Linked DNA regions of Schizosaccharomyces pombe. The gene in region 1 interacts genetically with each later gene. Each region holds a gene or a part of one and is shown on either strand. Other genes may lie near its edges. The genes, in order: met6, grx1 and trx1.

Evidence for each region.
Region 2: mutations in met6 (region 1) and grx1 impair growth when combined (synthetic growth defect), as found in Schizosaccharomyces pombe (one study listed by BioGRID).
Region 3: mutations in met6 (region 1) and trx1 impair growth when combined (synthetic growth defect), as found in Schizosaccharomyces pombe (one study listed by BioGRID).

What each region holds. Positions count from the first base shown.
Region 1 is NC_003423.3:4,088,045-4,092,831, reverse strand, and holds met6 (homoserine O-acetyltransferase Met6), read left to right. Parts: upstream 1-1,583; 5' UTR 1,584-2,005; coding exon 2,006-3,471; exon of another isoform or gene 3,472-3,513; coding exon 3,514-3,553; 3' UTR 3,554-4,146; downstream 4,147-4,787. Other genes in the region: dolichyl-phosphate beta-glucosyltransferase Alg5, read right to left, coding at 1-292, 448-504; ilv5 (acetohydroxyacid reductoisomerase), read left to right, coding at 4,739-4,787. UniProt on the Schizosaccharomyces pombe protein: Commits homoserine to the methionine biosynthesis pathway by catalyzing its O-acetylation.
Region 2 is NC_003424.3:4,872,235-4,875,671, forward strand, and holds grx1 (glutaredoxin Grx1), read left to right. Parts: upstream 1-1,984; 5' UTR 1,985-2,034; coding exon 2,035-2,055; exon of another isoform or gene 2,056-2,149; coding exon 2,150-2,202; exon of another isoform or gene 2,203-2,370; coding exon 2,371-2,468; exon of another isoform or gene 2,469-2,536; intron 2,537-2,591; coding exon 2,592-2,725; 3' UTR 2,726-2,817; downstream 2,818-3,437. Other genes in the region: hit1 (HIT zinc finger domain-containing protein), read right to left, coding at 1-338, 452-519; ceo5 (TTC27 family TPR repeat-containing protein), read left to right, coding at 3,341-3,437.
Region 3 is NC_003424.3:2,623,205-2,626,400, forward strand, and holds trx1 (cytosolic thioredoxin Trx1), read left to right. Parts: upstream 1-2,128; 5' UTR 2,129-2,252; coding exon 2,253-2,564; 3' UTR 2,565-2,651; downstream 2,652-3,196. Other genes in the region: dfg10 (steroid dehydrogenase), read left to right, coding at 1-286; oligosaccharyltransferase subunit Ost4, read right to left, coding at 736-834; SPOM_SPAC7D4.08 (uncharacterized protein), read right to left, coding at 1,838-2,128. UniProt on the Schizosaccharomyces pombe protein: Participates in various redox reactions through the reversible oxidation of its active center dithiol to a disulfide and catalyzes dithiol-disulfide exchange reactions.

The DNA.
Region 1 (4,787 bases):
CCGTCGTATCCTTACTCTCGTCGTCAACTATAAGGATCTCCCACCGACGTTGTCCTGCTGAAGAAGAGGAACGATAATATTTTTCCAAGTGATCGACTGTCTCTTGGAGCATGTTTCCGATTCGTTTAGACTCATTATACGCGGGAACAATGACCGTTATTTGTATATTATCAGAAGTGCTCCACTTCTCAAGAGTCAAACTTTTTTTTTGACCGTTCTCAATGAATACACATGTTTCCTCTCCTTCCAGTTGCTTCCTCGGGCAATGAGAATGAGTTAAATAATAGTAAACCTATATTTGGGTTAATGAATATTCGGGGAAAAATTTGGTCTAATGTCACATCAAAAAATCGAAAGTACAGATAAACTAAACAGGTTCTGCCCGCAACGACCTTATTTACCGACGGGTGGACATGAATGAGAAGCATGCTAGCTAATATTGCTTACCAAGAACAAAAGGATAAATCCCGCAAGGCAGGTGTATAAAACGATGTATACTACCATGTCGTAACTATGCAAAAAGCAGAAGGGTTAAGATTTATGATATTGGAAGAAATAACTCATTCAAAAAAAAAATTACTCCACTCCGTTTATACTCTAAGCTATTTTTTAATGAAATCCGAGCTTTTGCAGTTACAAAGCATGCGGTGGGATTATTTGTGTTTGGCTCTGGCTAACTGCCGACTGGACTGGACAACAGTAATCGTTTAGTCATAGCAGACGAATTTTTTAGTACGAGTTGGTGAGTAGCAGTCAACAACTTAAAATGTCTACTTTTACAAGCAATTAAGCATAGACATATCGATTACAATAGACTCTCATTGTTGCTCAACTTCTGATAGATCACAAAAGTCAAGCATACTTGTTATAATTATATAATTATTTTGACTATTTGGGAGACATTGTATTAAAAGAATAGGTGCCTTTACTCTTTCCTAAAAAACTTACATGACTGTAATTCTGCGTGGATATAAATATTTTTTCATGGAACATCGTATGATATATCTTACGGCTACTTAGTATTAAGGGCGCAAGTTGTTCAATTGCCTTAACCTTTTTGAATAGGATGAACTACAGGTTTGGCTGGGTCATAAAATATGTCTTGAGTATTCCTTCATTTGTAAATTGATAAACTAAAACACTTAACGTTGAAAACACTTGTTTAAAATTGGCTTCAAGTCAATTAATTGTAAATTTAAGGAAACTAGCAAGTAATCATTATTTAGACCAAGCGCCTGTTTATTTAACATTATTACACCTTTTCCTTATCGATTCGTTTATCTTCGAAAGTTGATCTCGCAGAGTCCTGATCCATGAAATGACTTTTTATAAAACATTAGCCTTTGTAATTTTTTTAATAAATTCATCCTTTTCATACATGATTTTACTGAAATTACGGTTAAAACTGTTATATTTATATAAGATAACAAAAAAGTCTCGTTGTTTGAATAGCATATTATGAAGTACCCGTATACCAAACTCGGTTATTGATTACCGTTCAATTAATGTTGTCTAACAAAATACTAAGCAGACCGTTAAATTAGGTTGAGATAAAAGTTTATAAACTTACCACTTCTCCTTTCACCATAACCGAATAGGAAAAAAAATCTTGGTATTCAAGTGTTTTTGGGTAACTTTGGAATTTAACAAATTAGCAAATATAGTTGCTTACCGTTCCTGGTACTAAAAAACCTAAAATTTTTATTGCTGCGCAATACCGTTAGTTTTGGTTTTTTTTCGTAAAAACTTTCTGGTTTTTCGATTTTTTGTTTTTCACGCTTAAAAGAAGAGAAGCTAATTGTATTTGCTTACTCAACACAAAAGCAAGTAATTCATTCTTTGTGTTAAACCTTACACTAATCTGCTTTTGTCAAAAAATTTTTTTTTGGTTATTTAAAACTCCTACCATTGAGTTTTGTTAGTTACATCTTTGAGAACTCAGTTCTATCAAAAAATTTAGTTTCTTTCATTTTTTCAAAATTTGACTATCAATCGTTTGATAAAAATGGAATCTCAATCTCCGATTGAATCAATTGTCTTTACTGACTCCTGTCATCCGTCTCAGCAAGAAAATAAATTTGTTCAGCTTATTTCAGATCAAAAAATTGCAATTGTTCCCAAATTTACGTTGGAGTGTGGCGACATCCTTTACGATGTTCCCGTTGCCTTCAAGACTTGGGGTACTTTGAATAAAGAAGGAAACAATTGTCTTCTTCTTTGTCATGCTTTAAGTGGTTCTGCTGATGCTGGAGATTGGTGGGGTCCTTTACTCGGTCCTGGTCGTGCGTTTGATCCATCACATTTCTTTATCGTATGCCTTAATTCTCTTGGTAGCCCATACGGAAGCGCCTCTCCTGTTACATGGAACGCTGAGACTCATAGTGTTTATGGGCCAGAATTTCCTTTAGCAACCATACGTGATGATGTAAACATCCATAAACTTATTTTACAAAGATTGGGTGTAAAGCAAATTGCTATGGCAGTAGGTGGCTCCATGGGTGGTATGCTGGTTTTGGAGTGGGCATTTGATAAGGAATTTGTGCGATCAATTGTTCCCATTTCTACCTCTCTTCGTCATTCCGCGTGGTGCATTAGCTGGTCTGAAGCGCAACGCCAGAGTATATATTCTGACCCTAAGTTTAATGATGGATACTACGGCATAGACGATCAGCCTGTAAGTGGCCTTGGAGCTGCTCGTATGTCTGCCTTGTTGACATATCGCTCCAAATGTTCTTTCGAACGTCGCTTTGCCCGTACTGTTCCTGATGCGTCTCGTCACCCCTATCCAGATCGTTTACCCACTCCTCTCACGCCCAGTAATGCACATTGGGTCGTTCACAACGAAGGAAACCGTAATCGCCGTGAACGACCTTGTCGATCCAATGGATCATCACCTACTTCTGAAAGTGCTTTAAATTCCCCCGCCTCTTCTGTCTCGTCTTTACCTTCTTTAGGTGCCTCTCAGACTACAGACAGTTCTTCCCTTAACCAGAGTTCGTTATTAAGACGTCCTGCTAATACTTACTTCTCTGCGCAATCGTATTTACGTTACCAAGCGAAGAAGTTTGTAAGTCGCTTTGATGCTAATTGTTACATTTCGATTACTAAAAAGTTGGACACCCATGATATTACTCGTGGACGCGGTTCAGACTCTCCTAAGGAAGTCATGAAGGATTTGTCTTTACCCGTACTCGTACTCGGTATTGAAAGCGATGGTCTTTTCACATTTGACGAACAAGTTGAAATTGCCAAATCTTTTCCCAATGCTACCTTGGAAAAAATTATTTCGGCCGAAGGCCACGACGGTTTTTTGCTTGAGTTTACTCAAGTAAACTCACATATTCAAAAATTCCAAAAGGAACATTTAATTGATATCATGTCTCAAACTAATTCCTTTGAGCGACTTGATTCCCAAGTTAATGATACCAACCGCGAAAGCGTTTTTGGAGAAATGGAAGACATAACCTCCTGGTAAGTAAAGTGTTTTTAGGATTGTTGATAACTTACCAATAGTTATCCTACTGGTTACCATCCTGGTGTTACAGTGGTATAAGTATCCTACGGACCAACGGCCTGGGGAGAAAGATCGTGTGCTAGTTTAGTCAACTTGAGGATTCAACTCCTCATGTATAAACACGATCACTTTCGTTAATGAGCTTGAAACGTATATTATGACTATTTTATTTAAAAAGGATGTTAATTTTCAAAACATGGTTTTTTTCGTTAGCTTTTCAACTTCTCATTCCACCTTTCTTTTCTTATTGTTTTGTCAATTTAGGTTCCTGCGGGCAGTGAATTAGAGAGCGATTGAGCTGGATGGTTTCCTTGTATGCCTTTCTTTAAGAAAGAAGAAAATGTAGTATACATTGATAGAAATTGCCAAAACCTTGTTAAACCTATTTCAACCCTTTCTGCATTCGTCTAACCGATTCTTGGATAGATATGCATCTTCTTGAAGAGTGATGCGTATATGGAAATATTCCAGTTGTATCTAGCGAAATCACTTTGCCACAATATGAAATTTGAAAATTACATTCTCACCCCTCCAACATGGGGACTAATTCTTTTTTAATGCCACCAAAAAAAATTCTATGAAGCGTTTGTTGATGGGATTTACAGTCGTTCAGTGTTTAATATATAGATTTTATAAAAACAATGTTTAATAAACTATTTTGTTTTTTTTTTGTTGAAAGTTTTATTTCGTGGATAAAGAGAATACAATTCGATATACTATGGAAAAACAAATGTAGCAATCCACCGTGGTATGAAGAGAGAGCAATACAGCATAGGATAAGATTATTGGAACTCGGACTAGGAAGCGGATATCTGGGGCAAAATCAAGATTGCTTCTTCCGGGTTCGTAGAGTTAGCGACAGATCCTTGCCGGTCATGAGGAAAAACAACGCACCGACCGTATCCAAGCTATGGTTTACATCACAACATACTGGGTCAATCATTTATGAAAGTGCTTATTTCGAGAACACAAAGCTCTATATTCACGTGCCTTTACACCGGACATGATAAAAATCTTGTTAAACTTGAAAAAGGAGTATTCTGGTGGTTTTGTTTACATTTTTATAACACAATACAAGCCGCTACGTTATCTTTCTTTTCCATCAGCTGTTACTTAGACGGAAGCACAAGAAGCAGTCACAAAGCAGTAGAGAGAAATTCAGTATATCTAGAAGAGATACTTGCCAAGAACACCAGTTCCAAATCAAAAATTTTTGGGTAAAAAATGTCTTTCCGTAATTCCTCTAGAATGGCCATGAAGGCCTTGCGTACTA
Region 2 (3,437 bases), on another chromosome or scaffold:
TGTGTAGCCGCTGTTGCTGAATAGCATCTAAGGTTTTCAGAGGAACAGAACCCTCTTCCTCACGGTCAAGGTTCACTAATTCTTTCATTATATGTAAAAGCTCGGCATTACTTTCAATTAAATTTTTTATGCTAGGATCTTCGACAATAGATTCCAAAAGACTTTCACTTGGCAATGCCTCTTCTGCTAAACTTGGGATTCTTCCATTAACGTAGATAACATTAGGAGAAGGTTCTGGGGGGTTTAAAGGTTCTTTAACTCCTTTGAATGTTGTTGTGTTATTGTCATTTACAGTCTCACATTGACTTTGGTGGATTTTCCAGCAAGGTAATGAACAACTATTAATTCTATATTAGTATTTTTAGGAAACAGAAAAAAAGAATAAAGCATTGGTTCATGGGTTAATGTGTATTGAAACAAAATGCATTGTTCTGAGCTTACAAGCACATACTAAGGAAATGAACACTTCGGGCATTTATATTTTATTTCTGATTCGTTGCATATTGAACAAGTTGTCATGATAGCGTTTAAATTTTTCTAATGTATTAGAGGAGAAACCTTTTTTTTTAGACAAGCTCAAACAAAATAAGATTAAAGGGAGAAGAGCAATAGAGTAACGTCAAACCTTGCTAGTTCAAAATACAGTTAACACTGAATAAAAAGGCTCTGGTTTTTCCCTCTTTTGTGATATGTTCGAAAGCTATGGTAAACAGTAAAATAATATTTTTTTGAATATTCTCAATATAAACTATCTCTGCATCTCTAGCGAGTACATTTTTTTAGATTAGCATGGTGGATTTACTTATCGTTACCCCTCACTATATAAAGCTTTTTAATGATTTTCTGGTTACGAATTTTAGTGACTTAGTCGTAAATAGTTTAAGCTTTTTAAAAAAAGTACTTATTTAAAGGAAATAAATTATGAATCTTTCTTTGGGAAGGATCAAAGCGCTGTTGTAAAGTATCCTCAGTTTCCAATTTTTTGTTTATAGCCCTCCCTAACGATCTTAAATGATAAGCAACGTGTTTGAATCACAACCTTTCATTTTTTAATATAAAAGGAAGTATCTGATAAAATCTTTAAGGATATGCTTGTATAATGCTGAGACGTTCTTAGAGTCATTATTCAAAAATATCTACTTAATTGCGTATATTAAAGTTAGCAGATGAAACATCGAATCATGTATTTAAAATGCTAATTGATTTACAGCTCTATTTTCCAGAATTTTTTTCTAAAAAGGAAAATAGTAAATCATTAGTTTATCTAATTAGCTAAATTGTTGACGTTCATGTCAATGGGTAGGCAACATAGCTTAAGTTGATCAAGAGCAAATGTTTTTGAGCAAGGTAATATCATTGCTTTATTAGAAGCTTAAAAATGGTTTAGCGTAACAAATCGACACAGAAAACTAAAATAGATAATAAAAAGATTTTAAGCAGGGTTTTTCGATGAAGGTATATTTGGTCTCAATTCACAATTTTTATTTCAATTGATTGACTGTTATTACTTAACAGATAACGAAAATTCAAGTTAAACATACGCAATTATAAAAATAGGTTAGCCTTTTTTTTTCTATGCACTTTAAATCCGTTAATTAATTAATTGTTGTAGCCAGAGCTCATAAGATTTGTAAATAAATGAAATCTATTCGAAATCGCAATCATTTAGTCTTATTATTCATAACAATGCAAAGCACGCTAAGTCGCTAGAATAAACAAGTCATACAGAACAGAAAACATCCAACTAGTACAATTCTCTGCACGAAATCATTATAGGCGGTTTTAAAAAAAAAATAATAAAAATCATAAAATTCATTATATTCCCTGCCATATGCTAGTCTTTCGGTTATTGAACCGTTTACTAACGTATAAGTCTACTAGACTTTTCTAACGTTAGGGATACGTGCTCCACTGACGTATGAATTAGCAATATGGAAAACCATGCACATATATATAATACACAACTGATAATACATATCTGCCTACCACATACCACCAAATTTAAAGGTTTTTGTTTGTTACGTTATTAGAACCATGTCTAGTGTTGAATCATTTGTACGTATCCGTTTGGCTAGAATCAGAGATTAACCACAATGTCGCTGAATTTTGGTAAAATGTTCTTTTACAGGGTACTAACATTTCTGTATAGGTTGACTCTGCCGTTGCTGACAACGATGTTGTTGTTTTTGCCAAGTCTTACTGGTACGTTTGCTTAGTAAAGTAATCGTTGCATAAGGGCGTGTATTTGTCACACTGGCTTACCATAGTTTGAACGCTTGTATTTTTGTTTTAACAAATTACACTTCCATATGCCTAGAACCGACTACTTAATTTTTTTTGTTAAGCAGTGATATTAACTCTTAATTTTAGCCCTTACTGCCATGCTACTGAAAAGGTGATCGCTGATAAGAAAATTAAGGCTCAGGTATACCAGATTGACCTTATGAACAACGGTGATGAGATTCAATGTAAGTTTTTATTGCATCTGTTGTTTTGCTTGATGCTAGTTTAGATCTGTCTATAATATAATAGACCTTGAGTCTGTATAAAATGGATGGTATAAAAAAAAGCATACTAACCTCCTTGATTAGCTTACTTATTGAAGAAGACCGGTCAACGTACCGTACCCAATATCTTTATTCACCAAAAGCATGTTGGTGGTAACTCGGATTTCCAAGCATTATTCAAGAAGGGCGAGCTCGACTCTCTTTTTAATACTGCCTAATGAAATTCTATGAGCAATAAATTTTTTTCTTTAAATTACATATCTCAAACTGAAGAAACCTGTATTATAAAGCTCTTAAATCTAAATCTGTGGTATTTTAAAGCTAATGATAGAACTTAGATGCAGCTGTTTTTCCTAGCTACTAACTACAACATAGCACATAAATTTTGCTTTTATTTTGAGTAATAAATCACTCGAGAAATACTGCTCTTTTCGATTACTTTATTAAGTAACTCATCTGTGCACAATTTGTACTAGCTGATTTAAATTTTTGAAAATTTAATTATTGAACTGGTAAAACAAAATCAAGGAATATTAATGCCATTTTTATCCTTTATCATTAGACCTCTGTAAATTCGAAGAGTTTCTGAACCTATTCTTGAAAATTGGGTTTTATAAATTTCTGGGTACATTAGTCAGAGTTCCCAACTCCAATCTTCAATTCCTGTAGTAGCAAACTAAAAAATAGCTATTTTCCTTACTCACTACTGAATTGAATTGATTTCCTTTTTGTTTTAAATACAGAAATTCCACTATTAGACGGGATAAATGCTTAATAGGTTGATTGTCTGAAAATATATTTGTTGAATCAAAAATTTTCAGTTTTGCCAAACAATGGTAGCAATAGAAAATAAAGAGGTCCTTTTTGGAGGTTCTCTAAAAAGCACAGAAGAATATGATCAGTTTTTCTGTCCTAGTATTGACATTCCTA
Region 3 (3,196 bases), on another chromosome or scaffold:
CATTTGGCAGAATGCAAGTCATGAACATTTGATTGCTCAAAAAAATCATTCGCAATATCTAGTCCTAAAAAAAGGATGTTTTAAATGGATAACTGGCCCCCATTACCTTGGAGAAATCATTGTTTATACTGGAATAGCACTGATTGCCCAACACTGGTTAATATGGCTAGTCTTGGGATGGGTACTTTGCAATATGGTAGCAATCTCTTCTTCTTATGCTTGTACGGTCAAGAACAAAGAACAAAGTTTGGACTTTCGGTGGACTCTTATACCTTTTCTATACTAAGAAAAGCGTGCCGTCAGGATACCGCGATTCTTATTGATTGTGTAAAATAACATTTATTAAAAAAAAAGATAATTTGTATTAATATTTAGTCGGGGTTTGAGAAGAGACGAACTTTAAAGATGTATTATTATTTTATGTTGCACTTTAGTACAAGCAACAGTAGATGATAAAAGTTATTTGGCCAGCATGTAGAAAATAGGGAAGGAAGGAAAAAGAGATAGGAAAATAAGAAAAAAGTAATACAAGTGTATCCAATATTTAACGGAACAAATAATAAGACATATTTTGTTTCGTAATATAATCATTTTGATATGCAGGTACAAATTCCATTTCACAACAATACCAAAGGTAACTTCCCTTAATTGAAAGAGTGACTAATTTAAAAAACGTAGACGAAGAGTGCAGCTATAAAGGTAAGTTAGACAAACAGACATGAATCTCTCTTTCTTTTATGCTTGAGGACGTGAAAGGTAATGGTAAAGGATGATTAAGAGCATCATGGAGATACCAAAGGTGGTAACGATATTTTGAAGTTGAACGTCTGTCATTTTTAAGATGATCCTTTGTAGGAAATGAGTTCTGATGCTTGTGCTCGGTACAAGTTGGGAATACAAGTATTTAGGTCCAAGCCTGAATTGCCGTGCATTCTCATAAAGTAACGAAGCACGGTTGCTACTTGAAATGTGAATATCAGTACTGCAGTGATGAAAAAGACTGCCGGTATATAAGGTAAAAGAAAGAAGAAAGAAAATTCATTTTACGGTACTTTCGAATTCTTTAATACATATTGCTGCTCAATAGCTTCTGGATGTCTAAAATGTGAATGCTTCGAAAGAGCGTAAAAAAATTTCAAAAAAAAAAATTTCTTCACCATCCCTATAATTGCCGTTGATTAAAAAAAAAAAAATGTAACTTTCTACTTTGTTAAAGCCAAAGTAGCTGTAGAAAAAGTGACTGTGGATGCGTATGTAAAAGGTTACCCTCTCAAGCTGAAAACTGCATTGTACTATTTCGCCATAACGTGAATTTGATATAAAGCGATGGTTCAATACACCGTTTCTAGAGGAAGTAGCATGGAAAAAACATAAATTAAAATATCGTTCATCGTTCTAACGAAAGTTCAGCTACCGCAAAGAATTATTTGACTGGCGATTAACTTTTTTTTGATTTCAGAATTTCAAGTATATGTGACACTGTTATAAACTGCATATTTATACTCCTTTTCCAATTTCTACCGCCATTTATATGTAAAATGGATTTTGTTAACAGTAGGAATATCGCCTCACTATTTTACATTTTTGTATGTCTTTTAATTTGTAATTTCATATCAGTACCTCAGTTGTTATAACAAAATTTTCTTAACATTACTTCGACTCCACTAACTAGATCGTGTACAGCAAAGAAAAGAGCACGCATAATCTTTCAGCTTACCAAAAAAAAAGAAAATCTTTACATTTACATACTTATTATTTTGATGCTTTAATTGCTTATAATCTCATGTTTGTCGAGAATCCACGATTAACAAGCTGACATAACAACAAGATGGCTTCTTTAGCTTTGTTTACTAATTGTCAGGTTTCCGATTTGTGATTCGTTGTAATTCCATGAAGTATTACTCCGAAATGCGTTATAGAAAATTAGGAAACGAATTGGTAGGTTGATGGCAGAGAATGGCACCATATCCTCGTTATTGTAGCTCATTACCTCATCGTCGGTGATTGCACAATGTACGCTCTCGATCTTTCTACTAGAATAAGCGAACTTATAAATTACACATTTTCTCAATAATATATAAACGGGCACGTCGCACCATCGTATAAGTATACTAGAGACAAAGTTCATTTGCACTCCTGAAGTCAACGTCTTTTGAATTTTTCAGGTTTACTTCTGTTTACTCGTTAAATCGATTTTTTCTTTATTTGAGTATATATTTTTAACTTAATTTCCCATTTCATTTATATACAACATGGTGAAACAAGTCTCCGACTCTTCTGAATTTAAATCTATTGTTTGCCAAGACAAGCTTGTCGTTGTCGACTTCTTTGCTACTTGGTGTGGACCTTGCAAGGCCATTGCTCCTAAGTTTGAGCAATTTTCCAACACTTACTCTGATGCCACTTTCATCAAGGTTGATGTCGATCAATTAAGTGAAATTGCAGCTGAAGCTGGCGTTCACGCTATGCCCTCTTTCTTCCTTTACAAGAATGGTGAGAAGATTGAAGAAATCGTAGGTGCTAATCCTGCTAAATTAGAGGCTTCTATTAAGGCGAACCTCTAATTTACGCAATCTGATAGTTAGTTGTTATGAACTTGTAATACAAAATATTTTTATTTAACAAAAATAAATGTTTTGCTTTTCTTTGTGTATGCACCGTTGTAATTTATTGGGAAAAGTATTTTTGTCCTAGCATCTTTTCTACTGAAGTTGCAGAACGGCGATTTGCGTACAATTATCGCAATAATAGTAATGTGCCATCGACCAGGCGTAGTAATCTAGTCATGGGCATTTTTCAGACAAGCTAGCTAATTTGCGACCGCCTTGAGCATTTGTAATATTTAATACGACTTTTTGGTTAGGCGTTCGTGACTCTGTTCTACATTATTCTCCTATCCTTCTAAGATAGACATTGGAGAGTGTATACCAATTTGGAATGATACCATTTGGATGAATAAATATCCTTTTTGATTACATGCTCAAATACATGCTACTCTTTATTTATAACATTATACAATTAACCCAACGAATATTTATGTTGATCTGAGTAGCAAACATATTTTTGTATTCTATTAGAATAAAATCTTTAATATTCTCGTTAAGTATTGTTTTATAACAATCAAATTTCACATTTATGGAGTAAAATCACAGTAATGATTACGCTCCGTCGACATGTTCTTAACACTTACATCCTA